4 linked regions of the Rhinolophus ferrumequinum genome follow. The protein of the gene in region 1 interacts with the protein of each later gene in a biochemical or structural test. Links are inferred from orthologs where the notes say so. Each region holds a gene or a part of one and is shown in the gene's direction. Other genes may lie near its edges.

Region 1 (7,829 bases):
TTAAATTGTTTTGTGAAAACTCATACCAGTAGAGTATTTTTTAAAATACAGACATTCCACCCTTGTTTCAGTGTGTGTTTTCTTCCTCCCTCATTCAGTTCTGTTTTGGTGCAGTAAATTTTTAAAGATATACAATAAGGAAGAAGAGAGTGAACACCTTCAATAACAAAATCCTGTATTATTTAAGCATCGACCACGTTCAGATTATTATATTTTCATAGATTTGGTGGGAGATGGAATAAAAGATATAAATGTCTGTAATCAAGAAAATGCAAATGTCCTGTTCTTAAGGAAATTAACAATATTAACAGATGTATTTTCAGTAAAATTATGCAGGATAATGTGCTAATTTGGGATATTTAGTGTTTTATACAGCTGAATCATTAGGAGAAATTTTAGGGGAGAAATTTTAGGAGAGAAATTTTAGGAGAGATTTTCATGATAAATTCTTGGGTTTCTGGAACTATCATCAAATTTCAAATCTTCCAGTTACCCATCTCATTTTTTCCCCTAGACGTGAACCAGAACATTAGCCAGGATTAAACTCTCCTTCTTGGAGTTCCTTCTCTGGGGTATAAAAATAGTTCACATGTGATCTCTTAAAAGGTCACCAGAATTAACATTTTATTTATTCTTGCTTAGCTGATAGTACTAAAAGGAGAACTACTACGGTCAGAGAAAATCACCCAAATGCCTCCCTGTAAGGAAAAGAATAAGTTATCAAGTGAATCATAAAAATGCCACCAGAAAGAGACGACGAGGAAAATGGCCCTCACTGCCATTTACCTGCTACCTGAACTAATGGCTTCAACCTCCTTTGTTGCTCTAAATCATCAGTTACCTTACTGAATACGTGCAAAGCATTTATACTTGTTTTGATATCTATAACATATACCTCTTGATGGTATTTTTCAGAAATGAAAACCAAGTTATATGTTCGTCTTTGTCCCACAACTGACCAACTTATTTCGCATCCTCACGTTTTCAGAAAAATAATGTAAAATGCCACTTACACTGCAATTATAAATTTCTTTAATCACAACTGGAAAACTTTAGGAAGAAATCTATTTGGGAAAAAGAGAAGACATGCAGATTTTATATTCGTGAGTTTTTTTCCCCCCTCTCCCTTAGTGGAACTACGTATATGAAAATAAGATCTTACTTTGTGTAGAGTTTATTATGTTACAGTTTAGGTCTCATTTGAATCTACTGTGTTTATTAAGAGTTCATTGTTGAAATGTTAACACAATAACAGTATAAAGATGTTTGGCATGTCACCTGTACCACAGCCCACAGATCTCCAAACACTTTAGAAATGTTTACAAATTAATCCTCTTTACATTTCAGTAAATTATCCAATCTTCAGAGCCCACAGATGGCGAACTGGAGATTGGATTCCAGAATGGAACACTGTATTCCTTCAGATTAAAGGGAAGACATGGGAGGGTGGCTTAACTAGTGAGCCCACACTGTGTGGCAGATGCAGGAGCCAAAAACAATGCTGTTACCCAAGCACACTGAATGGAAGTTGGCCACATCCTACACTCTCTTAGTGCAGTGGTGCTGAGCATGGGTTTTTAGGTTTGGGTCATGCCTCTGGGTTCACATCCTAGCTTTACCACTTCTAAGCTGTTGAGCAAGTTTCTGTACTTCCCTAACTTCACTTTCCTCGATTGTAAAATCAAGGTAATTTATGTAAAATCAGGTCACACCTACTTCACAAGATTGTGATGATTAGATAAAATAATGCACAAAGCTATCCAGGCACACATGGTAAACCTCAAAGTGAGGTATTTTATAGCATTATTTTTCCCTTTTGGAATGTATTATCAAAGTCATATTCTACGTGTAAGAAGCCAGAACACGAGGATCCCGTTTTACATCTCTTCAAGAAAAATCTACTTCAAAATGAGATAATTATAAGCTCTTTCAAGAAATAAATACCTTGGCTCGCTCCAGCCACCAAATCTAAAAAGGCTTTGCAACAAAGTTCACATATTCTGCAGTTTAACGTCACACTTCATCCATGTCTTCATTTAACAAATGTGTATGGTGCACACGCCACAAAAGGCATGGGTTTAGGTGCTGAGGATTCAAAGGTTGGATAGGATAGATAATTTCTGCCTTGAAGTTGCTTCCAGTCTGGGATACAGGAACTGGACCAGGTGAAATACAGTAGACAAAAAATGTCAGAGGAGGAGAGTTTGGGGACATCATAAACTTAGTAACTGGAAATTGGTGGTCTTAGCTGCTTTGGAGGTTCAAAATACTTATGTTCTTGGAATACAATGTCTCTCTATACGTCTCTCCATCCTGTGCCCTCAGATATCCCTTCTTTTCTTGGGGCTATTCCACATCTAAAATCTGAAGTGTGCTAAATTCCAAGTACTTTTCCCTTCCCAGCTGTGGGACACCTGGAATCCCGGAGAGGGGAGATGGTGCTGCTGCAGTGGGATGAATCACAAAATACTTGGTTTTGCCCATTCTTTGGACTTCTCCAGGTGGGAGCAAGAGTTGAATGGGGAGGTAGGAAGAGGCCCCTGATTCTAGGCAGTTGGGGAAATTCTTGGCAAGCAATCAGACTACTAGAATATGGAGTGGGCAAGTGGGGTAACACACAAGGTAAAGCTTACTAGTGATTTGTAGGGGACTCAGTGACTCCATTTCTAACATGGTATGCAAAAATGTGCACTTGTGTGGGGAGATCCATTCAACAAATAGTTGTGTATTAACTAGGTACCAGGCACTGTTCTAGGAACTGGGACTATATCAGTAAACCTAAGTGCCAAAGTTCCCTACCCCCCTGGAACTTATACTCTATAGGAAGATATGGACTACAGGTTTATTCTCCAAAAGGGTCTGTGATGCTCAGGAATCGAGATGCTAGACCTGTGGTCCTCAATGTTATGTACCAGCACCACTTCAGGGGAACCCTAAAAGTCCTGGGGGCTGGACTGATGGGCTGGATCATTGTTTGCGTTTGGGAAGGAATGTTTTGAAGCTCCCACTCATTTTGATTCAGTCAAGTGTGAGATAAACTGATTGCTTCTGAGAAAAGAGAATGGAGATGAAGTTTCCCTCACCAAGAAGAGTCAAGGAAACTTGGCTACTTTCTTCTTTCACGAATACTACAAAGCAAGGGGATTTTCAGTTCTGGATATCCCTAGAGAGAAGCATCAATATTCTTCTCTTATTTTTATTAGCTTAGATAGCACTCTCCAGAGTGCTTTAAAAATATTTAAATGTATGCCTATATATTTTAAGATTAGAAAGGAGAGCAGGAATTATCATCATCATCTAACTTGAAACCCCAAACGATTTCCTAATTCTCTTTCCAAATAAAATACTACTACTACTACTAGTGGTAGTAGTATAAGTTTTTATTATATGTCATTTTACAAGTACTCACTTTACAAGCTGGGCATTTTACAAGTGTTCACCTATGTAATACTCCCAAGTACATTGCGAGGTATTGCTATACTCAGGGGAGAAACTAAGGCTCTGAGGGTCACGGAGCTTATTCAAGTTAAACCCAGAGGCCAGATCTTAACCCTGGCTGCAGCTGGCATCCATCTTTCCTGAGTCCCTTCCACTCATCTTCCTTATTTAGCACTTGGAATCTCTCCTGTGACCAAAGAAGAACAAACAAGTTATAAATCACTAAGGAAAAAAAAAATTGCTTGGGAGACTCTAGCGCCCAGGCTGATTTCGGGCGTATTTGGAGGGCAGCCTCCTTCTCGGTGTAGGGTCTTCTTTCTGTCGGCATCTCCCGAGCTCCTTCCTGAACCTAGCCCGGACAAACGCTCGGCTACCCCCGGTCCCCGGAGGGCGCCGGAGGCAGCACCGACTCTGGGGCTGCGGATTCCGAGAGGTGGCTGCCGCGCCCGCGCCCACACCCTCGCCCTCGCCCTCGCGGGCGCCAGGACGCGGGTGCAGATCCCAGACATGGGGGTGATCCTTATCTCCTGGCCCCGGGGCAGGTCCGCAGGCTTCCCGGCTCAGCCAGGAACTTGAGCCCGGGATAGATGACTGACTCCAGGAGTCTTTGCTGGAAGAGCAGTTAAAAAGCCCTTTTATGTTGAAGCTCCGAAACTGTTGGCTTCTTTCCCTCTCTTACAGTTTTGTGTCCTAAAACGTTGGCTCCACAGTTTAAGGGTACGGGTAAGTGTGTGTGGGAGCGTGTGACGCTCACAGGGATCCCAGGTGGGGCATCCAGGAGGCACCCACCGCCCCCCTCCCCAGGGTCCCAGAGACACTGGCCAGCTCCACTCCAGGACCCGGCTCACTGCAGGCGCGGGGCAGACATCAGTCTCCGGACCCGCACAGGGGTATCAGAGGGAAATGCGGCGGAGTGGGGGTGGGGGCGGTAGACAAGCTGGGCTGAGTGACCGACAGCGTGGCCAGCCACTGGCCAAGGGCGATTAGGCGGCTTAGGCCGGCGTTGAGTGCGTGCGTGTGTGCGTGAGTGTGAGCGCGAGGGTGAGTGTGTGAGCCTCCCCAGCCCCTACCTGTTTAAAATGGTTTTAAAATGCCAAACCCAGATTGCCCATGTTTCAAAAGTTGCAAACAGTTGGAGTAAAACCCATGTGCTTCCCCCTAGCTCCAAAGGGATTTGCTGCGCCCAAGGCACTGAAAGAAAAGCAGGAATAAGAAGCGTGATTGAAAGGGAGTAACTTGTCTTCTCCATAAATGTCGGTTTTAGGACCCAACGGGAAGCACATTGGAATCTCTCCCTTTGGGAAGGAGGGACGGGGCGGGCCGGCCGGCTGGAGACCAAGGGGCGCATGCGCGTGCGTTTTCTCTCGCCGGTCGCTGCGCTCCGCGGCGCGGAATAGAATGAACTGTAACAAAACAAGCCGAGCCTTTGTATCTGCTTAAAGGGGCCGCAGGCACTTCCCTCCTGTTACCCCCACCCCCGCTCCGCTACCGCGTCTCCAGGGCTCCCAGCAACTGGCTGGAAGGGCTTCCCTCACCCTCAGGAACAGCCCGCCAGCGGAGAGGCGAGCCAGGCGGGAGCTAAAGAGGAGATTCCGCATTTCTAAGAGGCAAGAAAGAAAGGAAGGAAGGAAAAAAAACACAACAAACCACCAAAACCCAAGCGGCGCAGAGTGGACTCTGGTCCGGGAGAGCACGGTCGGGCGCTGGAACGTGGACCCAGAAGCACCGGAATGCAAACAAAGCTCGTGGGCGCCAGTGCAGGGCTCGCGGGGAAGCCCAGAAAGTTTGTTTTATGATGGCTTGAGTGCGCGAGTGTGTGCAGGGGAGTGAGGCTACCAAGTTTCTCTCTCCCGTGGCGTTATTTTTGGGAAGATGTCTCTCCCATGAACCAGCGGGGACTGGGGGCTTGTGCTGAGGGGGGCACCTGTCTCATTTTATTTATTTTTTTTGGGGGTAGGAGTGGTGTAACTCGTCATGTCGAAAGTGATCCAGAAGAAGAACCACTGGACTAGCAAGGTTCACGAATGCACCGTGAAGCGGGGACCCCAGGGCGAGCTGGAGGTGACGGTGCTGGGGGGCGCGGAGAACGGGGAGTTTCCTTATGTCGGAGCCGTGGCAACGGCCGAGGCGACGGGGCTTCCCGGCGGCGGCGAGGGCCCTAGGCTGGGCGAGGGGGAGCTGCTTCTGGAGGTGCAGGGGATCCGGGTGTCGGGCTTGCCCCGCTATGACGTGCTGGGAGTCATCGACAGCTGCAAGGAGGCCGTCACCTTCAAAGCCGTCAGACAAGGTAAGACGGGACGCGCCTCCGGAGGCGCCCAGAAAAGGGGAGCTGCCTGCGGGTTGCCCCCACCCCCATCTCAATTTCCCGCTTTTCTCCCGCGAGCGCAGCTTAGAGGTGAAATTGAGGCCGTGCGCCCTGTCGTGGTGAAATACACAAAGTTGTGGAGAGGTTGCGGGTTGTTTGCCCACCTGCGTTGGGAGGAGGGAATTGGATTTGCGCCGGGAAGCGGGGAGACTTTTCCCAGGCCTGATTTGCCAACCTGTTATCTCAGTCACCAAATGCAGCGCAGCTTCGCCTGCGCCTGGAGGAGAGTTGGGAGGACTGAGGCTGAGGCCAAGTGGAGGCTCTCCTGGCTCCTTGGGGGAGTGATGCTGCAGACCTAGTGCTGTGTTGTTTTGCCACTGGTCTGTTTCCAGACCTGGACAATGGGTATGAGTGAGGAGAGGGTTTATGGTTTTTGGACCTCCTCCATCAGAAAATCGCCTTTATCCCGTAACCCTCCAGGTGGGTTCGGACGCAACGGTTCCTAAGCCGGCCGCCTGAAGAGCCTGCATTCGCCCCACTGAGGGATGATGCGTGTCTCCACCGTGTGGCTCAGCCCCAGGCTTGGGAGGCGGGGAGGGTGGTGGGGGGCGGAGGGAAAGGAAGTGTATTTCTCTTTTAGCCTGAATCAAGCCCAAGTTTATGCTGCCACCATCATCACTACCACCAGCATCGCCATATCATTATTGGTGATGATGATAGCTACTATTCATTGTTAGCTTACTACGTACATGCCAGACTGTGTAAAATGCGTCCCTTGCACTACCTTGTTCTGATTCACAATTCTGAGAATGAGTTGTTTTTATAAAGCCCGTATTACATATAAGGAAACTGGGTCTGACATTGGTTAAGTTACTTGGCCAAGGTCACATGATACTAAACTGAGGGATCGAGCCCTTGCTGCAGAGCCTTAAGCACTGAAGAGGGAGAGGTGGGGGCGCTGACCCTTGTGGGATGAGGGAGTGGAAGCAAATGACTCGCCAAAGCCTGTAGAGGAGTGATGGCCTCTCCTTTGGCTGCTGGTGGTGGGGAGTCCCTTTCATCGCACGTGTAGGCAAGGAAGGGGGTGTCCCTGTATCAGTCCAACAGAGAAGGACTCCATTCCCTTAAAGGGAGGCCTTATACTACCAAGTGCCATGACGCAGTTTCTCTCCCAAGAAGGCATTAGAAGAGGTGGCAAAGTCCAGTGTGGTGAAAAGTTCCCATGTGCCTCCTGGTCTGGAAGGGCAACAGCAGCTGGAGGAATGGGTCAAAGGAAAAAAGGGCTGGGCAGGGCTAGGCCGGTCCAGTCGTGGAAACAAGCCTGTTAGGGGACAGGGAGGAGGGAACCAGAGGGGAATATACAGGCCTTTTAGCTTTGGGAGCTGAGGGGCAGATGCATAGGTATGGAAAGCTCCTTCCATTTATGTCCTCATTGTCCACTTGGACACCTCCTCCAAGAAGCCCTCCAAGCATCCAGCTAGTGATCTAACTCTGAGTTAGATCACTCCCCTCATTTCCATACCAGGTGGTAAGCTAGTTAAGGGGATAGACTGTGCTTGTTCATTGCATATCTCCCCTGGCTTTGCTTAAGGCTTAATACCTGGCCTCGCTGTGAGAATGTGTCCTCATCTGTAAACTGGCTTTCTTGAGGGTGTTACATAAGCTGATAAGTGTAAAGTATGCAGAACAGTGCCTGGCACATAGTAGTAAGTGCTCAATAAAGAGTAGCTATTGTTATATTTAAATTGAATTAGAGAATTAGTTATTTCTAAGTTTAGCTTTTAGTGCCAGGAAACTGGATTATGAATTTAATGCTGGTACCTGGATTATCAGGACTTGGTGGAACTGTAGAGAATATACTGCATTTGATGGGAGCATCTTAAGGTCTCAGTTCAGGGGCATTTGGAGAAAGGGCTGGAGGAAGGACAGCCAGGGGTATCATCTGGTGAGGGATCTGCTGGTGTTTGATAGGTCCTGTGTGGGGGCTTGTTTTGAGTGTGCAACACAAGGTGCTGTGTGGGGCTGAACCTCTTCCTCCTACCAGTTTTCAAAGATCTGGGAGGCACTGTCCCAGGGCTGCCTCATA
Region 2 (8,130 bases), on another chromosome or scaffold:
CTTACCCCATCCCTTAGCTCAGCCTGGGGAGTCCTTGCCATGGAAGGGCTCACAGATGGGTAGCATCCTTCTCTTTCCAGGCTGGGTTTTGGAGAAACATTCTGGTATTACAGATGAGGAAATGAAGGCTGAGGGAGGGCAGGGACTTCCTGGGGCTTCATGGTGAGTCAGGAGCAAAACCCAGGACTGTAGTTGGGCTAAACCTCCTCCCATGAGAATTCCTCTTTTCTGTTTTATTTTTTTTTAATTTACAAACAAAACCAGAACAAAACGAATGGAAACTGAAGGAAAACACATGCACGTACAAAGGAAACTTCCATGTGTGGGCCAGCATGGTTGCAGGCGTTTTATATAAACATTCCCATTTAATTCTCACCACAACCCTGCAAAAAATCATTATTTACCTTTTCTGGACAAGGGAACTCAGTTGAAGAGAGGTTTCAGGACTCGGTCAAGAAGCCAAAGTCAGGTAGAGGAGAAACTGGACAACTAAGTAAGGTGCGTCTGACCCCAAATCTGCATGATATCACCCCTCCACCCTAACCTCTTTTACCCATCGGTCCTAGTTTCACAGAGTTGTAATCACAGTGCAGCAACCAGTGGGAAGCCCCTTCGCTGATATATCCAAGGATGGGTAGTTACTTGCTCACATAGCTCCTCAGTCCTTTACTGATCACGGACCTATTATTTCATTTAACCTGCACCACCCCCCAGAAGGAAGACCGGACAGAATTTGTAATGTAAAGTCACACTCAGCAAGTACCAGGCAAAGATAGGACTAGAACCTTGGTTTCCTGCCTCCTGATCTCAAAACCATGTGACTGCCAGCTCCTACTAGAGCCCTGGGACTGGCTGTCCCTTCATCCCCACCCCAAGTTGTAATATTCCCTGGCAGGGGCACCAGATGACCAGATAATTCCCGACCCCAGTGCCTGCCTCTCAAGAATTAACCTCTGGCCTTAGATCCCTGCTACAGCCAGGTAGAATCTGGGTCCTATGACTCTCCTGGCCCTGCATGTCCTCAATTCACTGCTGTGACCTTTTGTCTACGTGTTGAGATTGGGAGCTCTTGGAGTGCATGCAGGGCCTGGCGCTTACCCCAGAGACCTGCTTATGACTGAACCCAGAACAAGGGGATTGTTGAGTGATGCTGGATGGTATCTGGTTCTGCCACAAATTCACTCTGTGTCCTAGGGAGAGCCCCTGCCCTCTTCTGGTGGTCACAGATCTCAAAGCCGCATTTCAGCGGGCTGTGATTCTCTTGTCTGAAGAGCAGACGCGTGGAGGAGACATACCCCCATGCCAGGCTGGCCGTGTTAAGGGGATTAGCTCAGGTAGGAGCAAAGGCCCCTATGTGTGTGCCTGTGGGATGGAGGTGGAGAGGGAAGGTGACTAGGGTAGAAGGAAGGTGAATAGGAGTGGGGTCCACAGACTACATTGTCTGCAGCTAGGCTCTGCGGGGTGCAGGCAGGAAATAACTGGCATCTGTAAGTGGGGGATCATGACAGAGCAGGAAAGGAAGCAGAGGGTCTGTGAACCCCAGCTGAAGGGGGGTGGTGCAGTATGGGCAGATGGGTTGGTGGCCACCTTCTCAGCAGAGAACCTTGGGTGGAGTGCCCGCCTGTCCTGGGTACCCACTCTTCACTGGGCTGGGACGCTCTTCATGTTCTAGCCATGTCCAAGGGCTGCTGCACACACTGCCTCCCCGGGGGTTTTCCTGAGAGTCCTGGAATATTGGAATGGCTCATCTTCCAAAGCCCATTCATATACCTGCTCCAGGCCAGCTTTCCATCCTGGCTCTTAAGCTTAGAATCATTTTCCTTCTGGGAGACTGCACAGCAGCACACACACTAGAGGGAGAGCACAGCTGCAGAGCTAGAGGGAGCCAGGGGCCAGGCCTGCTCTCCTGTCCTAGCTGTGTTACCTTGGGCAGGTCATTTTACCTTTGAACCTCAGGCTGTGAAATCTGTGAAATAGGGTCATATTTATCACGAGGGGTTGTTGTCAGGGTTAGAAACAATATAAATGACATGTCTTGTTCAATGCCTGAAACATGGAAAAGGTAACATAAATGGTAGTGGTTATTCCTTCCCAGGGTGAGAATCCTCCTTGATGGAAGGAAGCCAACACCTGCTTGCACAGCCCCAGGGATGGGGGAGTTTGTCCCCTCTAGGGGTGGCTCTGCCTAGAAAACCTCCTTCCCTAGATGCAGCTGAGACCTGTCCCAGTTCTGTCTCTGGAGCCACACACAGTACATGCTACTCTGTGGCCATGGGACAGCTCTGTGGCATCTCCCCCAAAGAATCTTAAGAAATCTTACGGGTAACATGGTGCTTGCCTGCTTTGCAGGAGAAAGGCTCTGGAAGTCTCCAGCCTGATTCAAAGGTGTATATGTGTATTTTAATTCAGGCTTGCATAAATCACAGAAACCTTTTCCCCCTCCCTGTGACTTTGGAACATATGGATTGTAACCTCCTGAGACTGCTTTTTTCTTGGGTGAACTTTCCTAATTCCTTTGAACATTCCTCATAGAGGCAAATGGGAGAACAGGGTTCTGGTCCCAAATCCATTACTTCAGGGCAAGTCACTTCTATTCAATGAGCCTCTAGTTCCCCATTTGTAAAATGAAGAAAATACTATTTCATAGGTTTACAATTAAGATTAGCTTGGAAAAGTAACATGAAAGTTTGGAGTTTGGAAGTTCCGGTGGTAAATATTAAGTGCGTACTTTTAAAAATCATTTTTGAAAAAGCAGTTAGTAGGCATGCCCATCTGGTGTTGCCCCTTAGTTTTATAAAACCTCCAAAGGAAATTATTCCAGAAAGTCAATGCCATTCCTGGTTTCACAATAACGGCAAATAAGGTGGGGGATGCCCTCTTAAATTCATAAAGTGAAGCCTCAGGGTTTGACTTAATCTGCGAAGAGTCTATTAAGGTCCAGGCCCATTCACTTACTTTATTCTGCAGTTGGAACCAAGGCCCAGAGAAAGCCCAGCAGATCAGTGGTAGAGGCTGAATCTAAGTCGCCCAACATCCAGCACACTTATAGCCCCAGTGCTCACTGCCAGAGGAGGACGGTGAAGGGAAGATAGTCTCTGGGCCAGACTAGATACACGCAGGACGAGGATTCAGCAAATCTTTCTCAGGCACCTTCTATGTGTGGGCCACTACCTCTGGGCAAGCACTCTTACCGCTCCCCCACTGGCCCAGGGTCATTCATGGAATGGTTGGTTGGTCAGCCTTGGTGAAGGCCTAGGCTGACACTGTTTTGCTCATCCCTCTATCCCTGGTGTTTGGTACAAAGACTTGGCAAAAAGCAGGACCTTAGCAAATATTTTTGAATGAATGATGAATCAGTGAGCATTTATTGAGCACTATGTACCAGGTCTTGTGGTAGGAGAAAATCTATTTAATACAAGCCTGCAAGGCTGATATTATATCCCCATTTTACAAGTGAGGAGATAAAGGCTGAAAGAGTTGGACTGACTCGCTCAAGGCCTCGCAATGAATTGGTGGTGGAGCTGAGACTGGAGCCCAGCCTGGCTACCTCTGGCCTGGGCTCTAGGTATTGACCCACAACTCTCAGGGACCTGGGCCTCCATCCACCTGTTCTCTTGCCCCAGGCCTTCCCTGATAGTAACTGAGGACCCTGCAGAAGGGCTGACTTTTGAATGGCCTCAAGGAGACCAGAAATAGCAAGCTTGGTCTCCTAGTTTACACATAGCTCTAGATTAAATCTGATTCAAGCATAGCTCTGATTCTATCACCTTCATGTACAATAATCTAGGCTAACTCAGTGTAAACAACCTGGGTTCAAGTTCCATCTTCCCAACTTCTGGCCATGTGGCCTTGAGCAATTTACTTGGGTCTCTCCAGGCCTCACTCACTTTCCTGTTTTGCCTGACTACACTTCTGAGAACAGGTGTCAGAGATGCCAACTTCTGATAAAACTATGGGGCAATCTAGTTCACCCTCTACACAGCCCTGTGGCTCCAGAAGAGGGATTTTCATTCTTCTAAGGACTCCAAGAGAGGCAGATACCCCTCCTGCCAGATGGTCTGCAGAGCAGGAAGGTACTGGGGTCGTGCGGTGGTGGGTGTGGGGGCTGCCTGGATGAGCATCTTCATTGGCAGATGAGGCAGCCCAAGCTCACTTAGCCAATTAGAGGCAGGCAGAGTGGACCGGCATCCAGAGCTCCTGATTCCCAGACAAGGGCTTCCTCTGCCCCTGCTGCCTCCTCTACTTTTCCTAATGGATCGTCTGCACCTGTTTCTTTATAACCCAAAGAACCCTTCGTGATCCAGAGATTCTAGTCCTACTGTGTGACCTTCAGAAAGTCTCCAGTCCTCTATGGGCACTATTCACCCCATCCATAAAATGGGGGCCCTGCCTTTAACGACCTAACTGTTCCCTTCCTGCAGAGTCCATGCTCTTTGACTTGAATGCCCTGTAGCAGAGAGCTGTTCTTTTTCTTTAAAGGGGAACTAGACACTCCCCCCGCCCCCCAACAACAGTCAGGCACCTGTGATCTGCTGTGATAAGACTTGCTAATGCTGGCTCCCTTGGTGCCTATCTGCCCGGCCCATTTGCTCGGGAGAGAGGGGTGTTGGAGGACCGAGATGAAGCGAAAACCGGAACTCTCCTACTGTCACAGGCATACTGACCCCTTATCATTGTAAAAACTTCACTCTGAACGTCCACGACCCCCCAGCCCGCACAAACACTGCAGCCGCAAAAGCCAGCAGGAGGTAGGGGCTGCTTGTGCGCGTGCGTCGGCGCAGAGCCCTCTCCCGCCCACGTGCGCGCCCCCGATCGGAGGCGCGCGCCTCGGCAGGCTGGCGGGAAAGCGCGCGGGAAGCCCCCGGCTGGCTCCCAGTGTGGGGGAGGGAGGACAGGAGGCGTTTGGAACGTGCCACTCTAGGGAAGGACGGGGGGATTTTCGTGCTCTGCTAATGTTCCTGCCCCTCCTATTCGCCGACCGATCCGTTAATTCCCCCCGTCCCCGCCACGATAGGGAGCCCCACGCCGCGGCCACGGGACCTGGAACCCGGCTCTGGCCTAAGCTGTCCCCTCCGCCGCCGGAGTGGGGCGCTGCGCCTCGCGGTGGGGCCGGAAATTCCCGCGGCCTGAGTGGAGGAGCTGAAGCTGAGAGCGCGGCACCGCCTTCACCTCCCCGGGCTGGGTGGGGGCGTCAGGCCCAGCGAGGGCCGGGCTGCCTGAGTGGGGGCGGGGGACCGCGTCTGTGAGGAGCCCCGGAGCCGACGGCTGGCGGGGAGCCGGACGACGCGGCTGCTCCTCGAGAGCCGACCGGCGAGCTGGGAGACTGAGCCCCAGCTCTCGGGCCCCCGCCCCCTCGCGGTCTCCGCCTCCTTCCCTCACACACCCCCCAGGCCGCCAGAGCCCCAGGCTTTCCCGGCGCTCCTCCTCCTCCTCTTCACACTCGCCCTCCGACCCGGGTCCTCCTGCCGCCTGCCGGCCTTGTTCCCTCCCGGGCTAGTCCTCGTTCTCAGGCTCTCCTTTCACACACACACGCGCCGGCTGGGCCGTCCCCTCCCGTCGGCCCTCCTTCTCCTCGTCTTAGCTAACGCCGCCGTCGGTGGAGGATTGATGTCCCTTCAGCATCATGCAGCCGCCGCCGAGGAAGGTGAGGGTGCAGCAGGGGGGCTTCGGGGCTCGGGGAGGATGCGTCCAAGGAACGCGGCTGGGGCGACCGCTGCGCCCCCTCCCCCTTTCCTCAACCGGCCGTGACCGTCGTCGCCTCTGGCTTGTCACTGAGATTCCGCCGGTTCTAGGCGGGGGGGCACGGGTGTGAGGTGACTTTCCGACGGAGGGGTGGCTGAGGTTCGTCCCTTCCAGTACGCGAGAGACCCCCGACATTTCAGAGGAGTTTCGGGTGTGCATTTGTGTGTGTGCGCGCGCATGGCAGTGCTGCTCGCTGCAAAGTGCATTCTCGGGGCTGCACCAAGGGGAGGCGGGGGAGCCCCTGCAGCTTTGCAGAGCCTTGTGCTTGTGTGATTGTTTAGTCTGCACCAGGTTTGAGCCCTCCAGCTGCCTGTCGCCACCCTCGCCCATTTTGCAAATTTGCAGGGAATTTGTTTTTAGCCCAGCCTTAAGGTTTGGCCTGCTTTTCCCACGGGGCGGGCCGAAAAGAAGTTGGAATAGTCATCTCCCCCCCCCATCCCAGGGGAAAACAAGAAATTAAGCATTGACCAGTCAGTCCTGCCTTTCTCTGTCCCCCACCCTATTCCTGCCCCGTCCCTCCGGGTAGGGGGCCAGGAGGCGGTGATGCTGTCCTCAGGAGAGTGAAAACCGGGCAGTGCGTGGCGGGTGCACCGCGATCTGGATTTGGGGTGGGAGTGACGGGTGCTCCGGGCTTGTCAGCAGCTTTACTGCTGCACTTTCTGAGAACTGTTTCACAGCCCTCTTCACGTTTCCCAGGGGCTGAGTCTGTGTCCTTGTCTTTTTAATCCTGCAGATAGTTACTGAGTGTCTACTCTGGGCGCTGGGTGGAGGAGGCTGTTCTATCCTCCCCTCGTGGGCAAACGTTTGTTGAATATCTAACTCACTCGTGTCTGCCTCCTCCTCTTTCTTTCTTAATCCGGGTTTCTTCAGTTAAGTAAGTCTTTTTTCTTTAAAAAACGTACCCCGACCCCTCCGGGTAGCCTCACTCCGGCGGTGGGGATTCCAGGCCCACTGTAACCTGGAATCCTGGGGTCCCGGCCTGGCGGGCGAGGCACTGGCCAGCTTGCATTTGCTATTCTGGCTCTTTAAAGTGGAGCCGCGGCGGGGACCGGCTTGCTGGGGTGGCTTAGAAGCACTGCATATGCTGGAAGGTCACTTTTGCTTTCTCCTTTGTGAGAAAGATTGTGATTTGATGCGCTGTCAGCGAGTGGAGGGCATCATCCAGAGACAGTGTGCTTTCTTGCAGCCATTATGGAATAATTTATGTAGTCCGTTCATGCATATAATTTCATGATTGTGTAAATTTCAGTCATTAGATATTAGGCATTCTTATGCTCCCTTCTCCGGGCTACACTCTGCTCAGTACTTCTGGTGGTTAATATCTTTGAATCCTTTTTGGAAGAAACAGAAGACAGACTCTTTTAAAACTCTAGGAAGACCTAGATATGTACTGAGCTTGTGCATGAAATTGAATGACTAGCAGTTTATTTTGCACCTCTTTAATCTGTAATTTTTACACTTGTGTACTTAGATTTAGCCTCTGTTTCAGGTTATTTGGCTAATTTTTTTTCATACTGAGTATCTTCAGTAAACAAAATTAGGTGGCTAATAATGGATTTCTAGTTTCCAGGGGAGAGGTGCGCAAGAGGTGTATATTCTGACAAGTATTAAGTATTTTCCTTAAGCAGTTTTTTTTGTTTGTTTTTTGTTAAAGTTGCAGTAAGGCCTTCATAAATATATGGTGTATTTTAGGTGAAAGTTACACAAGAACTGAAAAACATTCAAGTTGAGCAGATGACAAAACTTCAAGCCAAACATCAAGCAGAATGTGATTTGCTTGAAGATATGAGGTAAGGTTATAGTAAATAGTTTGAGAACTTCTGTATCTCTGTTTCAAAGAAGCTTTGAGTTACCAAGCCCCAGGAACTGATGATGGAATTTCCTTTTGGATTTCCTGCTTTAAGGCTGTTAGAGCTTTGACTCAGCTAGAAATTATAACTGGAACTAACACAATACAAACTTTTTTTCCTTTAGTGGGGGAACCTATAACTTACACATACTATTATGAAAAAACAAGGGTCTTAAAAGTTTATCTGTCAAATTATAATCATTGAAGTTGAAATTCTTATTTAAATAATCTTTTTACTGAATTATAACATTTATTGACCTTATCGATTTCACACTGATTTTTAAACTAACTCCTCTGGTTAATGGTTAATATCTAGGGGTGAGCCGGTCAACCTGAGATGATTATATACTAGCGTTATTTGTTGGAGCATGACAGACACAACTTTATCTTTGAACATTAAATTTAGTGAGAAATGTGTTTATCATTAAAATTACCTCTGTTCATAATCAAGAAAACTTTGAATTTAGACATTATGCCAATTGTGAAAATTGGTATCTTTCTTTATAGAGGGAAGCATGACTCATTTTACTGAAAGAAAT
Region 3 (7,886 bases), on another chromosome or scaffold:
CAGAGGAAGCCACTGCTGAAGGTCACAGGGAAAAGTGACAAGGCCAGGACACAAACCTTGATCTTCTGCCTCCCAGGTCTGAACACTTTCCAACACATCCACATTTTGAAAAATATTATTATTGGCTCTAGCACTGTTCAATGTACTTGTTAGACATACCAGGAACAGGAGGAGGAGGCAAAGATGGAGGAAGTTTCCAAATAGTCCACACTTGTCTATGATTATACCACTGTCCTCTGTGCTTGTTCTTATCATAATGGATGGAGTTGCTTCTCCCTGTGTAAACTGTGACTGCAAAACCATTATATGACCTTAAGTACCAGCCACGGGTACAGGCTGTTCTTTTGTTACTTAGTTCTGGGTGACTGTTTCAGCAGTTGTATTGCTTGATATGAAAAGTTGTCTATCTTTACTCAGAAGTAGCCATTTGAGCTCTGATTAACAAATCCCACCACTGATTATCAGCCTTGAGGCAATCTTGCTTACTTAACATTTATTGATTTGATACATTTATTGGGGCTTTATTTGAAAATTTCCCCATTTCCACTGGCCCACCTTCCAGCAGTTGTCTAGTTAGATTATCCCTTTTACTTTTACCTCATTTTCAAGGTAAGTCAACTCACGAGGGGAAATGTCTTCACCAAGCTCATGGCTTACAACCATAGGTGGGTTGGATACCTATTAACTACTGCTGTGTGGATCTTTGATTTAATCTAAAACTTGAAACCAGGTTCAAGTCATGAGCTATTCTCCAAGGGCAAAATGCCTGCATATATAGTATCATAAAGCTTAAAAAAAAGGTCATTTACCTTGAATATTTATGAAGATTAAGTAGTGCTTTTTATGGCTGTGGACCTGCATGGCCCCTTTGGAAAACCTCTTATGTCCCATTTTATTCATTACCAAGTAGGTATAAATTTATCTCATGAGCCTACCTTGTAATTGTAAAGTATTTTTAAATGCTTATGTGAAAATAGTGACTAGGCTATAGGGACATAAATTATTACTGTAAATTCTAAGCATGATGTAAGATTATAACTCTAAAACCACTCAATAATTTCTCACATTAGTAAATATAAGAATATTTCAATAAATTAGACATTACATATTTATGAATCAAAGCTCCATGTTAATTAATATTAAGCAAATGTTACATCATGGGAGATATAAAAATGTACAGGATAATCCTGGCTCTCAGTGATCTTACAATCCATATAAGAAAAAGGGAGAGAAACCTATAAAAATTAAATAAAAATATGACAGATGTGAAAAGGCAAAATATTGTTGACACATGAAATGCAATTATCAGAGTAATCACTGTAGGTAGAGGAAGGAGAAATCACTTCCAGAAGCAGGTGGGCAGAAATAACTGTAAAATAAAAAAGATAGATCTTGAAGACTGAATCCACTGAGACAGAGATGGAGGAAGAAGGGATTCTTGATGGAAGCAACCCAGGGAGAGTACAAATGCGAGAGAGAGAGAGAGAGAGAGAGAGAGAGAGAGAGAGAGAGAGAGAGAGAGATTAGATCTAAAAGAGAGAAAAAAAATTCAGAAGTTCAGGTTAGAGTGACATGGAGAGTTCTAGTCCAAGGTAGTACTGGGAAGGCTATAAGGCTATTCGGAACTGGACGGTGGAAATCTCTGAATGCCAAGCTGAGGAGTTAAGGTTTTTCAACAGAAAAACATCTTGGTCAAAGAAGTGTTTTAGAAATACTAATTTGGTATGGCATTCCAAATTAAATGGAGCAGGGAGGATTAGAGATCAAAGAGATCAAAGAGAATGCATAGCAAGTTCAGGTGTGAAATGATGGTAGTGGGATGGGAAAGGTAGAGGTGCGACAGGGAATATTGAGGAAGAAGGCCACTAGCTCTCAGGTGTGCTGGTTAGCATTGATTGTTGGAGCTTTCTGTCATTTTCTAAAATCCTGTCAAATCCACGGGTTCCTGAGAAGTGATTCATTTGAACAGTTGTGAGTGGGAATGGAGAAATTATTCATTTTGAACTTGCAACATGTAATACCTGTATAAATGGATATATCGGACCTTTTCTTCTTGATCTTGTATCCTTATCTAAGTACAAAAAGTGTTAGCTCAAAAATGTCCAAAGAAGAAGAAGAAGGAGAAGGAGAAGGAGAAGGAGAAGGACAAGGAGAAGGACAAGGAGAAGGAAAGAAGGAAGAAGAAAAAGAGTGCCACAAAATGTAGGAATTAAAGGAGATCTGAGAACATTTCATTTTCAAAGAAAGCTAACTCTAGTTGAACCTGGACTATTCCAAACTTTTCCATCAATACCACTGAAGGAAAGTCCCTGGGATCCCCTGCAGCCCTCTAGTGGAACTCCTATTAAAATAACTTTCTGGTTTTGAAGATTTATGATTTAATGAATTTTTTTATCCAGAAATTCAGACAAGCTTGAATGAGCAGGGGGGTAAGTTTCAGGAGAGTTTTTCAACAATTCTCCATACATGGTGTGTTTATACATACTATGTATACAAATACATGTATGGATACATAATGTATACAAATACGTACATATTTATAGACACAGTAAAGGTATTGGCATCTGGGCTTCTGCACTGAACCTCTACAACCAAGTTCTGGTCTTATTGCTGACAGAATGCAATCCCTTCATCTTTCAGGGGCACTTGAGCTTGGCACACTATTCCAATAACACCACTTGACAGAAAGATGGCTCTGATAGAAAGCCTCCTCTCCACATTCCCTACACTTCACCCCCGAGCCCAGCAGCACTCAGAACCCCTTTCCTGGGAAGTGTCAAATTCAACTCTTTCCAATCCCTTGGCTATTTTGAGACTACCTCTTGCGGGTGGGTGTGGGGTTCAGGGGGTACAGAAAGAAGCCAGAGGGGGAGACAGGAGTGCAGTAACTTGGGTAACTAAGACTCTCCAGAGATTATACTTAACTCAGGGTATAGTTCCTGTTCCTCCCTCTTTCTAGACCCTCTTCTTTCCTTGCTCCCCCTTCCTCAACCTCTCCAGTTTGGCAGAAATAGGCTGACAAGTCCTAGGGCAGGGATGAATGAGCAAATAAATCACCATCCCCCCAACACTCTGATTACAACTCTGGGCCTAAAACAAATTTATATGTTGAGATTCACATAAGAGAAGGTGGTTAAAACTGCTTGACTTTATAAACTGAATAAGCATTGCTTTTAGCTCTAGACATGGGTTGGTGTGGAAGTCAATCTCTCTGCAAGGTAAGAACGAGTTTGGTCCAAAAGCTAGAAAGATGCGTGAGCATTACATAACATTTTCATGCACCCGTATATGGGTAATTGGAAGCTGTCTACTTCTGAAGGATTCAATTAAAGGCTTTTTATTTTCAAGGTTGAGCTGAGGACCTTAATTTGAGAGGGGGCTTGCAGTCCTGCTGCATTGTGTGCTCCTGGTGGCTATCCTGTCTGTTTGTCCCCACACACAATCCACAGACAGCTAGGCACACAACTCACTAATTTCAAACTGATTCATTTGCCAACTCAGAAACCACTGATATAATTTTAACTGCTATCTGATTTTAATCCTCTTGAGTATTTACATATTTTCTTCTCTCATCCCTCCAAAATTAATCCTAGAGTTCTGAGACTCTGGGAACTTGGACAAAGGAGAAAACCAAGCCCACCAACAAATCTGAAATCTCAGTTCATTACATCAACCATAACTAACAGTACTTTTCTGTTTGTAGTGACCCAGCTCGAATTATAAAATCATGTCAGTAATAAAACACAAAATGCAGGTGTTATTACTGAATGGGAAAAGTCTGAAATGTAATTAAATGTGTTCTTTCTTCACCGCAGTGTCATTTTCTCTTATGTCTAAACATTTGTGTTTCCTTAAGCCTCTCTCTCTTTATAGCATCCACACTCATTGTTGCATTATACTCACATTATGCATTAGTTGAGACTGGGGAGTGTCCAACTGGTCCTCAGCACTAGCTGTCAGATGCACAGACCTTAGCTTCCTTTCTGCATCTACTGCACTGGTACAACAGAAGCTCCTTGCAAGAATAGCGCCCAGAGAGCGTTCCTGAGGGATGCGTCGTTTGCTCTTCTAGCAAGGCGCTCTGCTGCAAAGTTTCCTCTAACCACTAACACCCGCTTCCGATCCCCTGAGCTGGCAGGACGCAGTCTGGCTGGGTCCCCTCCTTGACCAGGAAAGGGTTTTACACACACTCTGCTAGGCTGCCCGATCCGAGAAACAATCTCCTCCAAACCCATCGGACAGGCTGTCAAAGGTGTCCTGGGGCTGGGAGAACACCGAGCTTCCCTCCCCGCAAAAGGGAGAACTCGCTCCGCTCCGCAGGAAAACTGGGCACTGGACGTAGAGGGGATGCCAGGGGACGGGGGCGCAGGAGGGAGCCGAACGCAGGAGGCAGAAGGGGCGAAGAAGGGAGCGCAGCGCAGGAGAGAGTGGGGGCCTTAGGAGAGGGGCAGGGACGCGGGTGGGAGCTGGCCGCAGCACGGAGCTTGGGGGAACAGGGCGCAGGAACCAGCAGGAGCGGGAAGGGGCGCGCGCACAGGCACCGGCGGGCGCCGGGCAGGAGCTCACTGCTCGAATCGTCCCGGACTCCCCAGAGCCGCTGAACTGCGGGTGGGAAGGGGTGCGGGGCGTTGGGGCGGGGGGGTGGGGGGGAACCAACTAGGGGCGTGCCTTTGTCGGGATTGGCTGCAGGAGCCTGACGCGAAGTCCGAGGGGTTGGCTTGCGGGAGTAGGAGCGGGGTGGGGTGGATGCTGGGTGCCTGAGCTGCGGGCTCAGCGCGCTCAGAAACATGCTGTGGTCTCGGCGGCTGTTCCAGCAGCGGCAGCGGCTCCAGCAGCAGCGGCGGCGGCGGCGGCGGCGACAGAGCTTGGCTCCCGCAGGGAAGGCGCCCGGCGCCCATGCCTCCGGCTCTGCGCAGCGGCTGCCCTGACCTGGCCGCGACCTTCCTCCGCGCGCCCGGACGCCCCAACCTCTGGGGTGTTCCCCAAAGACGGCCCAACCCCGCCACACACCCCGCCCCCGGCCTCCGCAGCTCGGCATGGGCGCGGGGGCGCTCGTCCTGGGCGCCTCCGAGCCCTGCAACCTGTCATCCGCCGCGCCGCTCCCCGACGGCGCGGCCACCGCAGCGAGACTACTGGTGCCCGCGTCGCCGCCCGCGTCGCTGCTGACCCCGGCCAGCGAGGGACCTGTGCAGCTGTCGCAGCAGTGGACCGCCGGCATGGGCCTGCTGATGGCGCTCATCGTTCTGCTCATTGTGGCGGGCAACGTGCTGGTGATCGTGGCCATCGCCAAGACTCCGCGGCTGCAGACGCTCACCAACCTCTTCATCATGTCCCTGGCCAGCGCCGACCTGGTCATGGGGCTGCTGGTTGTGCCGTTCGGGGCCACCATCGTGGTGTGGGGCCGCTGGGAGTACGGCTCCTTCTTCTGCGAGCTCTGGACCTCGGTGGACGTGCTGTGTGTGACGGCCAGCATCGAGACCCTGTGTGTCATTGCCCTGGACCGCTACCTCGCCATCACTTCGCCCTTCCGCTACCAGAGCTTGTTGACCCGCACGCGGGCGCGGGCCCTCGTGTGCACCGTGTGGGCCATCTCGGCCCTGGTGTCCTTCCTGCCCATCCTCATGCACTGGTGGCGGGCTGAGGGCGAGGAGGCCCGTCGCTGCTACAACGACCCCAAGTGCTGCGATTTCGTCACTAACCGGGCCTACGCCATCGCCTCGTCTGTCGTCTCCTTCTACGTGCCCCTGTGCATCATGGCTTTCGTGTACCTGCGGGTGTTCCGAGAGGCCCAGAAGCAGGTGAAGAAGATCGACAGCTGCGAGCGCCGCTTCCTCAGCGGCCCGGCACGGCCGGCCTCGCCCGCGCCCTCGCCGGGGCCCCCGTGCCCCGCCGCCACCCCGCTGGCCAACGGGCGCACCAGCAAGCGGCGACCCTCGCGCCTCGTGGCCCTGCGAGAGCAGAAGGCGCTCAAGACCCTGGGCATCATCATGGGCGTGTTCACGCTCTGCTGGCTGCCCTTCTTCCTGGCCAACGTGGTGAAAGCCTTCCACCGCGACCTGGTGCCCGACCACCTCTTCGTCTTCTTCAACTGGCTGGGCTATGCCAACTCGGCCTTCAACCCCATCATTTACTGCCGCAGCCCCGACTTCCGCAAGGCCTTCCAGCGCCTGCTCTGCTGTGGGCGCCGGGCCGCCCGCGGGAGCCACGCGGCCACCGGCGACCGGCCGCGCGCCTCCGGCTGCCTGGCGGTGGCCGGGCCGCCGCTGTCGCCCGGGGCCGCCTCGGACGACGACGACGAAGACGACGTCGGGGCCACGCCGCCCGCGCGTCTGCTGGAGCCCTGGGCCGGCTGCAACGGCGGGGCGGCGGCGGACAGCGACTCGAGCCTGGACGAACCGAGCCGCCCCGGCTGCGCCTCGGAATCCAAGGTGTAGGACCGGGCACCCCTCCACACCTCCCAGCCGGGACGCGGGCTCTGCGCGCCTAGAGGAAGAAAGCCTAGGCGTCCCTGAATGGCTTCCCAGGGGAAAGAGATATGTGTTTACTCAAGATCGAAAGCAGGTGAACTCGGAGCCCACAAACCTCATCTGAATCATCCAAGACAAACAGAAAAGCCACGGATCGTTGCACAGAAAGGAAAGTTTGGGGAGGGGTGAGAGAGTGGCTTGCTGATTTTTCTTGTGTTCTTTTTCCTGTTTGAGGTTCGATCTTCTTTTGTGTGTGCGTATGATGCATCTTTAGGTTTTGTTTTGTTTTTGTTTTTGTTTTTGTTTTTGTTTTTCCCCAGGTGTTTTTGACACGTTCTACGAGGACTGGGTAGGGCAAGGGAGAAGCATGACGGGGTAAAAGTCTATCGACTTGACTTCCCGGGAACAGGAGCGGTCAACCGGAGCGAGAGGGGGAATGACAATTTGTCGGGACATGTTTCCTTTTGCTTTCCAGAGAAATTTCATTTTAACTCCTGAGTTATGATTTCTCCTGTTCCTAAAGCAAAGGGAAAGGGTGTGTGCGAAATCCACGTTAGAAGAAATTGTAAGCTATTCTTGGAACAAGCCTCACCTTGCTTTCCTTTTGTAGGATAAGCCTGCTGTCCCCGTGCGCCTCGGTCGTCAGGCTGAGGGGTTTCTACCTCACACTGTGCACATTGCACAGCAAAATAGAAAGACTTGTTTATATTAAACAGCTATTTATGTATCAATATGAGTTGGAAGGACCAGGCACTGAGCCTCTGTGACATGTGACTGTCCATTGAAGACAGAACAGAAAAAGAAAACAAAAGAGGAAACAGTTCAGATTACTAAACGTGGGTAAAAACAAAACACAAAACAAAACAAAAAAAGGAGTGGTTAAAAATGCCATTTTTGCACAGTGTTAGGAATTGTAAAGTCCACAGAAGATGTTACTTGCACAAGAAGAAATTAAATATTTTTAAACGTGGGCGGGGGAGATCGTAAAAACTAAAATAAAATTGAAACTCTACTTCTGTTGTCTATTATGTTATTTAGCTAATGACTTATTGGAAAAATACCTTTTTATACTCTTTTATCATGGTACTGTAATTGTATCCATATTATAAATATAATTATCTTAAGGATTTTTTAATTATTTTTTTATGTCCAAGTGCCCACGTGAATCTGCTGGTAAAATTTAGCACCTGTGTGTAAATTCTATTTTCCTCTGTGTGTTTTACCAAGTATTTATACTCTGGTGCAACTAACTACTGTGTGAGGAACTGGTCCACGTGCAATAAATACCAATGAAGCACAATCAAGTTTATGTACCGTGTGTCTGTAAGAGGTCAGTGATCATGGAAAAGACAGTTTGCTTTGTTCAAAATATAGGTTGGATTTCCCATAGAGCTCTTTTAATAGTTTTTCATGACTCAA
Region 4 (7,635 bases), on another chromosome or scaffold:
TTGACAGGCAAACTTAGGCACAGGAAGTATTCCATGTCTCTGTACTTTGGCTTTTCTCATCTATGAAATGACCAATTCAGAGTACCTAAGACTATTTAAGGATTCATGGAGTCAATCCTTACACAATACACAAAGGAGCTTTGCCGAGTGCTTACCACAGAGTAAACGCAGCACAGGTTGGCTGTTGCTCCAAGTTGAATGAACAAGCATCTGTGGCTTGAGGTGGAGATGGAGGTGAGCTGAGAAAGGAAATATGCTTTCCCAGAGCCCTTAGGCAGTTTTGGCCAAAGCTGGGGGGCTTAAAGTGAGGGGTAGTGAGGGTGGCTGATGAGATCAGACAGACAAGGGCACTGATGTCAATTTATCAGAAGGATTTTCAGTGTGGAGGTTAGAAGGCCTGGCAACAGTGGCCAAACAGAAGACTCAGAACGTCACTGAATAGCAGTCAGGGAAGCTGCAGCATGGCAGGTCTACCAGTTCTCCTTCTGACGAGGCGCTGGCAGGTTTGGTGCTGCTGCTGTCGCCCGCAGGACTGCTGTGCACTAAGGCCTTAAAAAGATGGTGCAGACTGTACCAACCTTGATTCTCCAGAAGGTTATCTGTTCCTCAGCAGTTTACCACAGCGTCGCGGCAGCTGGTTGTCTAGCAGCACGTCGTTCGCTGCTCTTGGGTATGTCTGTGTCAGTGTGTCTGAGTGCCTCACTCTTCAGGTCCTGAGCACAGGTCCCAGGCCCAGATCTGAGAACTGGAGGTGAGCACATCTGTGGGCTCACATTCCCTGTCAGTGCTGATGGGAGGGGGGGAGGGGGCCCCGGTGACGAGGGCTAACCATCACCCCGTCCATGCATCCAAATGTATATTTTCCTAAGTATAAAGGAAAATAACTTCTGTGAGGTGTGGGACAGTTGAAGCTTTGCTATGACCATGAAAATCGCGTAAGCAACAATGTGAGCTATTACCTCTCTTTGGTGTTCTTCCTAAATGAAATATGGAATCTCCATCTGCTGCTGCTTCTCACTATTTCTTTGTTACTTTATTACCAGTAAAGCTGTAGGAGATGAAGCCTTAATTTGTTCCAAGCCCCCTTTCGGTACAAAAAGCCATGCACACTCTCCCTCTAAAGCAGTGGAAATTATGCTGTCAATTTATTTCCTAATTTCCCTTGAATTTACCTGTTCATATATTTCTCACCTTTCCTTCACATATTTAATTGGTCTGGCCGGTTTTTATAGCCACATCTAGCAGGGAAGTTTTTTTCTTTTTTCTTTTTCTTTTCTTTCTTTCTTTCTTTCTTTCTTTCTTTCTTTCTTTCTTTCTTTCTTTCTTTCTTTCTTTCTTTCTTTTTTTTTTTTACAGTCTAGTGAAAGATTACAATGTGGTGTAGTCAAATGTATTTTATATTAGCAGGAAGGAACAATCCAAATGTTTTAAAGGTTCTCAAGAGAAAATATTGAGCTAAATGAAATTTTGTATCTGAGCTGGTCCTGCTTTTGGTCTGTGGCTATTAGCTAAATGAGGCTTTTAGGGAGGATGTTTGTATATTTTCTTTCTTTAGATTTCCAGGGATTAAGATGGTCTTGGAGGTGTTGTTTGAAATCAAAGCCCCAGCCTGTGTAGTTATCCTCTCCTTGCAACCTGTCTGATAGTCATCAACCCTTCCCACTGCCCTGCAGCCCCTTCTGGGGCCCAGAACCAATCCCAGTCTCAGGTAGAGGAACTGAAGTAACTCTGGGACGTAGTGTTACCTTTGGGGTTGATTTGACCTTGATCTTGTGCCTTGATTCTAAAATTGGACACATCTCTTATTCCTGAGTTTCAGTCCTTGCCTCACCGGGGGAAATGGACCCCTGTCTTGGCACCCCGGGTCTGAGTCTCTGTGTCCAAGGATTTTTCCAGCACTTGGGCCCTCTAGGATGCAGAGCTTGCCTGAACTGGCCAGGCCTCCTCTCAGGTCCAAAGTCCTTTTCTTGCACCGTGGCTTGGCGGCAAAGGGTCTTCCTTCCTGCAGACTGACCTCCCCATGTGGTCTGCCTTCCTCCCCAGTTGCTCAAGGAGTCCCTGTTGCTAGGGTCTATTTTTGTTTCCCCTCACATTCCTCAACTCCCTGGTGGACCACCTGTTACCATCTCTCTTTGCTGGTTTCTTGTCTGCTAGAGTCCATGCTCTGCCTATGGTAAGGGACTTTGCCCCAGCATCTGTAGCTGGCAGTGTCCCTGAAGGCTTGCCACATCCTAGGCTGCCCTTCTCATTGTAATTCACAAGCCCTGTTGGTCTTGAGATGGGAGGATTGGTGCTCCTCACGGTCAAAAAGTTTAAGGACTTGATTGCTTTCGAGTCTATTTGTACTAACTCAGACCCTTCCCTGGCCTCTTAGATATAGGCTTTCCTTATGATGCTATCAGAATCCTGGCTCCAAAGTCAGGATCTTTCAAACTAAAGAGTTTCTATATGGCCATAGGGACAGGTCTCTGTCCTTTTCAAAAAACCAGTTTGTAATGGAACACTTCCATGAAAATTCCTCTGGCTGGTCACATACCAGTCTTAGTTTCCTTGCCTTGTCTCCTATCCCCTAGGCTCTGAGTGTTAACCCTGATTCCAGTGTTCTTCCCATCCAGAGCTGACCCATAACTGTGACATCTGATCCAACTCCATGTTTGCTTCATGGTCCTGGTTTGTGCATGCTGTCTGTATGACGTCCAGCACTTCAACACCGTACTTCCTGATTTGAGGTTTGATCCTTCTGTCCTCGCTTGGCCAACGAATAGAAACTTTAGCTCTCTATCAAACTGGTTAAAACATTATCTCCAAGCCTCTTATTTTGCTATCTTCCCTTTCCCAAGTCAGGCATACAGACTTCCAATCTCTTCGTGACCATCTCCCTGAACTGTATCTGCAGCCTTGACCTGTCTCCTGAGTTCTGTGCTCTTCATTCTAGCAAATGGCCTCACCATGCTTCCTATAACCCAAGCTAGAAACCTCAGATTTACTGTTGAGCCAGATCAAAAAGAGAGATCCTTATAGTTAGCACCAAGGCCTGGGGCCATCTCAGAAATAGGATGTGGCCCTCAGTTCTGCACAGGAGGTATTTCATCTTGTCAGTCAGCTCATAGACCTCAAGAAATCAACTTACACAAACTAAACTCACACGGGATGAATTTTCAACCCAGAATTCTGATTTGTACTTTTATAATGGGGGATTCTACTTTCCCTTTGTTGGAATCTTCCAGTTCACAATCCACAGTCCACTCTTCCAGAAATTAAGAAGATGAGTTATCAGAAGGTTCCCTGGTAGGGATAGACTCAGAACCAACGAGTGGAGTTCTCTTGAGAGATTTTCATCATAAACACGTCAGAATAACCTGAGAGTATGCTTCTGCAGAGTATGCTTCTGCAGAGTATGCTTTCCAACAAACACAAAGAGGAATCTACTTTGTACACTTCATATGAATGAGAGAATTGTCATCAACTCATCCACATGGACAGTGGAATGATGGATGTTGAAGCTAGAGCATCCTTACATTCATTCATGAGAGTGAAGCAGCTAGTGGTACTTACCTAGTACCACGTACTCTTGTGAAACACACACACACACACTCTCTCTCATTTAATCCTTACAACTCAGTGCATAGATGTTGTATGTCCCTGTTGTGGGTTGAATTATGATCCCCAAAAAGATACATACAAGTCCTAACCCCAGGTAACTAATAAGGTAAATGTGACCTTATTTGGAAATAGCATCTTGGCAGATGTAATAAGTTAAGAGGAGGTCACACTGGATTAAGATGAGCCCTAAGCTGAATAACTGGTGTTCTTTTAAGAAGAGAAGACATTGTGACACCGAATACATATTGGGAAGACAATGTGAAGACACAGAATGAAAACACCATGTGATAGAGTCAAGATTAGGGTGATGCCTCCACAAGCCAAGGAATACCAAGATTGCTGGTAACCACCAGAAATTAGAAGAGGCAAGAAGAAAATTCTTCCCTCCCTAGGGCCTTTGAAGGAAGCATGCCCCTGCTAACACCTTGATTTCAGACTTCTAGCCTCCAGAACGGTGAGAGAATAAATTTCTGTTGTTTTAAGCCACTCAAATTGTAGTACTCTGTTAAGGCAGGCCTAGGAAATTAATACAATCTCCATTTCACCAATGAAGTAATGGGTGCTCAAAAATGCAAATTCACCCAAAAGTAAGTGCTTAGAACTCTGTGACTCCAAACACTTGAACACTTGCTTGTTGATCTGACCCATTAGGTAGGGGTTCTCTTTCTCCTCTATCAAAATCATCTTCCCAATGGATTATATAATAACATCAGCATTTCCCAAGTAAAGTTGTGTAGAACATTAATCCTGTGGGATAATAGAATGTGTTAATGTGCAAAAAAAGTTTTTAGGGTCAAAAAAGAGAGGCATCCTATGTATAAATCAGCCTTTCTTTTTCCCTGCAGGACCCCTAATGGAGCCTTTAACATGCATTATAAATCTCCAAAAGGAGGGATAGTAGAACTTGCTGTGTTTCTCAGGCTGATTTGAACATGGAAGTCTTTTCTTTTACAGAGAACATCGTATGGAACTCATATGCTACGGAAGATACTTCGGGAAATGCTGAATTAAAGAAAGAAAGCTTTTCTTTTTTTTTGACATCATTTACAAGCCAACCATGTTTTCTGAGTTACATCTTCACATAGGTCTCTGAAGGAGAATTGAAAAACATCCATACTGCATCAGAAATATATTTATGAACCATCCCTTTGGGTAGGTTAATGTAACTAATGTTTCACCATACCCCTTTTATTCTTTATTGTGCGGATTCTCGCAGTGTCTTCTAGTCCACATCCATTAGAAACATGCCTGTATTGGAACAAAGTTGGGTGTATTGATTTGTTGTACCAAGGGAGAATGCACACCTTGGGAAACTCAGAACGAAGATATGAGGAATTATTAGAGGATTTGTGCTTGTGTTAAGTAATTTGGGGATGAGATTCAAGGAAGCAGGAATTTCCAGGAACAAAAATGGTTATTAGTTCTCATAATAGACTCTGAAAAACAGGGACCTAGACTATCACACCCAAATAATGAAAAGATGGCCCCCAGAATTTACCTGTTTTTTTCTAGACATCGAGGAAGTTTCCCCCACCCCTACCCCAGTCTCGAGCTGTTCTGTAGTATTTATACAGGTTCTATAAGAAGTGCTTACTTCAGCATATATTTCTCTTTGGCTAGCTAAGAAGAAATTAAGAATTATGTCATTATGCATGACAACTCTGCCTAATAAATTTACATTTAAACCTGGGCTTTATCATAGATAAAGCCAGACACTAGTTAAAGTGAGAAGGACAGATTTTAATCAATAATATACTATTGCAATAGAGAAAAGAATCCAACATGAACTGAACTCAACTTCAATTTTTATGGAGGTAACAGGACATTTTCAAGGGAGAAAGAGGGGATGAAAAGGTGCTCAGTAGAAAATTCCAAAAAGTTGGAAGGGAAGCTTGGTCTATGTGAAATGCATCTGGGTTTGCTAACTGGCACTTACAGAGGGTTAGCCTCCTACCTTCTTACAGAGGCTGGTAGACAGGGGCCCTTTCTTCAGGTGTTGGTTCAAACAAAGAGTAAATTCTTTTGACAGACTTGAGTTATCTCAGGCTATGTTAAAAAGGGGAGGTTAGGGTCATCCTAGAGATGTGGACTTGAGCCATTAAGAACGATGTTAGTGTTTTATTAGGCCCAGGTGGAAACCTAGTTGGGAAGAGGGCTCACAGGAGCCTGGCTAGAGTTTGATCAGGGAGAGAATATTGTCAGCTTCCAGAGAAGTTGTATACTTTGTGACTTTTGCCAGGGTCGGAGACAAGTTTTGCATAGTCCTTTCTTATTGCTCTCTCAGCTCTGGTAGTAGTTGCTTGCACAGTCTGTGTGGGGACAGAGTCCCAGAGAGCCGTTTCCAGGCTCTCAGCCTCATGTGGAAAGGTGCTGGCTCGGGTGGTGGATGGCTGTCAGCTGTAACCAGTTAGCCAGTTGGCCACTGATAGAACTTCCACGGCTGCGTTGGTTAGTGAATCGGTTGATTGGCAGGCAGAGAATCGGACAGCAGGTTGCGGATTGTGTGAATCCAGCCTCCAGTGAGACTATAGTGGTATGACTGCCCTAACTATGGCTCCGTGGGTGTTCCTTTTTGTCCTAGCCACACCCTGCGTTCTTATGTGGGGAGCAGGACCAGAGACCCTGCAGGCCACCCCGCACGACAAATGGCGGAGCGAGCAGGGTCTCCAGCATGACAGTCTGCATGCATGGGAGTTAGTTATGCTTCCCAAGTGTTCTCTCAGTTAGCCTGTGCTTACCTTTTTCTAAGGTTTCTGTGTATTCTTTTTAGGGAAACAGGATTCGCTGGAGGGAGTAATAATTCAAACCTTTGAAATTCTCTAACAATTATCCTGAATACACAGGCTAAGTTAGCGTGTGGCGGGTGGGTGTAAACCTGGTGTCCAAATAAATAAGAAGTATCCTAGTGAGGCAAGGACTGTGTTGGTATTGGGAATTTAAGAATCATTGATCACAACAGGCCTTCTCTTTATGTGAGCCTCTGTAGGGGTTGCAGGAGTGGGGGGGCCACTGGAGGTGGATAAATTCCTTGGGGGAGTCAAACATGTCCTGCAAAGCAGGCTGGAATATCTCTGAAGAAAACAAAGAAACTATTTTTAATCTAAAATAGGCCCCACCTTTGTTCCCACTCCTAACGGCTTAGGTCTTCTGGTGAAGACCTCAGCAGAAGTATTTTGCTGATGGGGTTCACTGTAAAATTGTTAACAGACTGAAGTTTGGGATTAATTATACAAGGGGAACTTAAATATCAGAAGGGATATGTAGAAGAAAATTTACCTTTTGAAGTGGTTTTTCTTCTTTTTTTTAAGTTATTAAATTTTGTCAGCAATCAGTTGACTTCAGAACAGTAGCTATGGTCTGAGAAAACCACAACAGATATTTTTTTTTCTTAAGTGGCAGAAGACCATAATGGGTCACAGGATAAAGAGAAGGGAGATCATTTTAGTTAATAGAGGGAGCGAAAGTACAGTGATGGACAAGATGAGTAGTGAAGGGAAAGAAAAAGCGTGCTAAAGAATCAGAAAATTAATTTTGTTCTGTCGTGTGGGAAAGCTGTCTGCTTCTGCAGTCAGTAGTTTGCTCTGCTATTTTGGGCAGAAGCTGTCCACATCTGTAAATCAACAGCTTCCGGAGAATTTCTAAAAATCTTCAGTTTGAGGTCTTTCAAAGGAATGAACTTCCAGTAGTTGACAGGAAGTATGTATGTCTTTTAGTTGGGAAACATGAATCCAAAGATTAAAATATTGGAATCTTAATACTGTGCCAGTTGTTAAAAGTACCAATAAGGTCCTTTCCATCAGGTTCAAGAGAAGTTATTCTCTGATGTCTTTTCCAGAATATCAAATATCTAGGTTTCACATCACACCAAGGCCATTTTGGAAGATATTTTGGAAATGCAGCTCTCCTGCAGATATCACATTAGATTGCAATAAGGTAGGATCAAAAATTGGAAATAATTCCCACATGCATAAGACAACCTGTTATTTACTCAGAAGGATTTAATTTGTGGGTCCTAGAGGAGATTGCTCTTAT

What was found.
Region 2: the proteins of MAGI1 (region 1) and FCHSD2 form a complex in vitro, tested with the Homo sapiens proteins (2 studies listed by BioGRID and IntAct, with this or other methods). The link is inferred for Rhinolophus ferrumequinum from reciprocal best matches to the Homo sapiens genes MAGI1 and FCHSD2.
Region 3: the proteins of MAGI1 (region 1) and ADRB1 interact in a test that uses a peptide from one of them, tested with the Homo sapiens proteins (2 studies listed by IntAct). The link is inferred for Rhinolophus ferrumequinum from reciprocal best matches to the Homo sapiens genes MAGI1 and ADRB1.
Region 4: the proteins of MAGI1 (region 1) and CYSLTR2 interact in a test that uses a peptide from one of them, tested with the Homo sapiens proteins (2 studies listed by IntAct, with this or other methods). The link is inferred for Rhinolophus ferrumequinum from reciprocal best matches to the Homo sapiens genes MAGI1 and CYSLTR2.

Annotation. Positions count from the first base shown.
Region 1 is NC_046300.1:59,913,395-59,921,223, reverse strand, and holds the start of MAGI1 (membrane-associated guanylate kinase, WW and PDZ domain-containing protein 1), read left to right. Parts: upstream 1-4,800; 5' UTR 4,801-5,412; coding exon 5,413-5,725; intron 5,726-7,829. UniProt on the Homo sapiens protein: Plays a role in coupling actin fibers to cell junctions in endothelial cells, via its interaction with AMOTL2 and CDH5. May regulate acid-induced ASIC3 currents by modulating its expression at the cell surface.
Region 2 is NC_046294.1:48,435,341-48,443,470, reverse strand, and holds the start of FCHSD2 (F-BAR and double SH3 domains protein 2), read left to right. Parts: upstream 1-5,128; 5' UTR 5,129-5,623; coding exon 5,624-5,644; intron 5,645-7,434; coding exon 7,435-7,532; intron 7,533-8,130. UniProt on the Homo sapiens protein: Adapter protein that plays a role in endocytosis via clathrin-coated pits. Contributes to the internalization of cell surface receptors, such as integrin ITGB1 and transferrin receptor.
Region 3 is NC_046299.1:13,973,140-13,981,025, reverse strand, and holds the start of ADRB1 (beta-1 adrenergic receptor), read left to right. Parts: upstream 1-4,735; 5' UTR 4,736-5,036; coding exon 5,037-6,434; 3' UTR 6,435-7,886. UniProt on the Homo sapiens protein: Beta-adrenergic receptors mediate the catecholamine-induced activation of adenylate cyclase through the action of G proteins. This receptor binds epinephrine and norepinephrine with approximately equal affinity.
Region 4 is NC_046287.1:88,775,852-88,783,486, reverse strand, and holds the start of CYSLTR2 (cysteinyl leukotriene receptor 2), read left to right. Parts: upstream 1-4,577; 5' UTR 4,578-4,738; coding exon 4,739-4,755; intron 4,756-7,635. UniProt on the Homo sapiens protein: Receptor for cysteinyl leukotrienes. The response is mediated via a G-protein that activates a phosphatidylinositol-calcium second messenger system.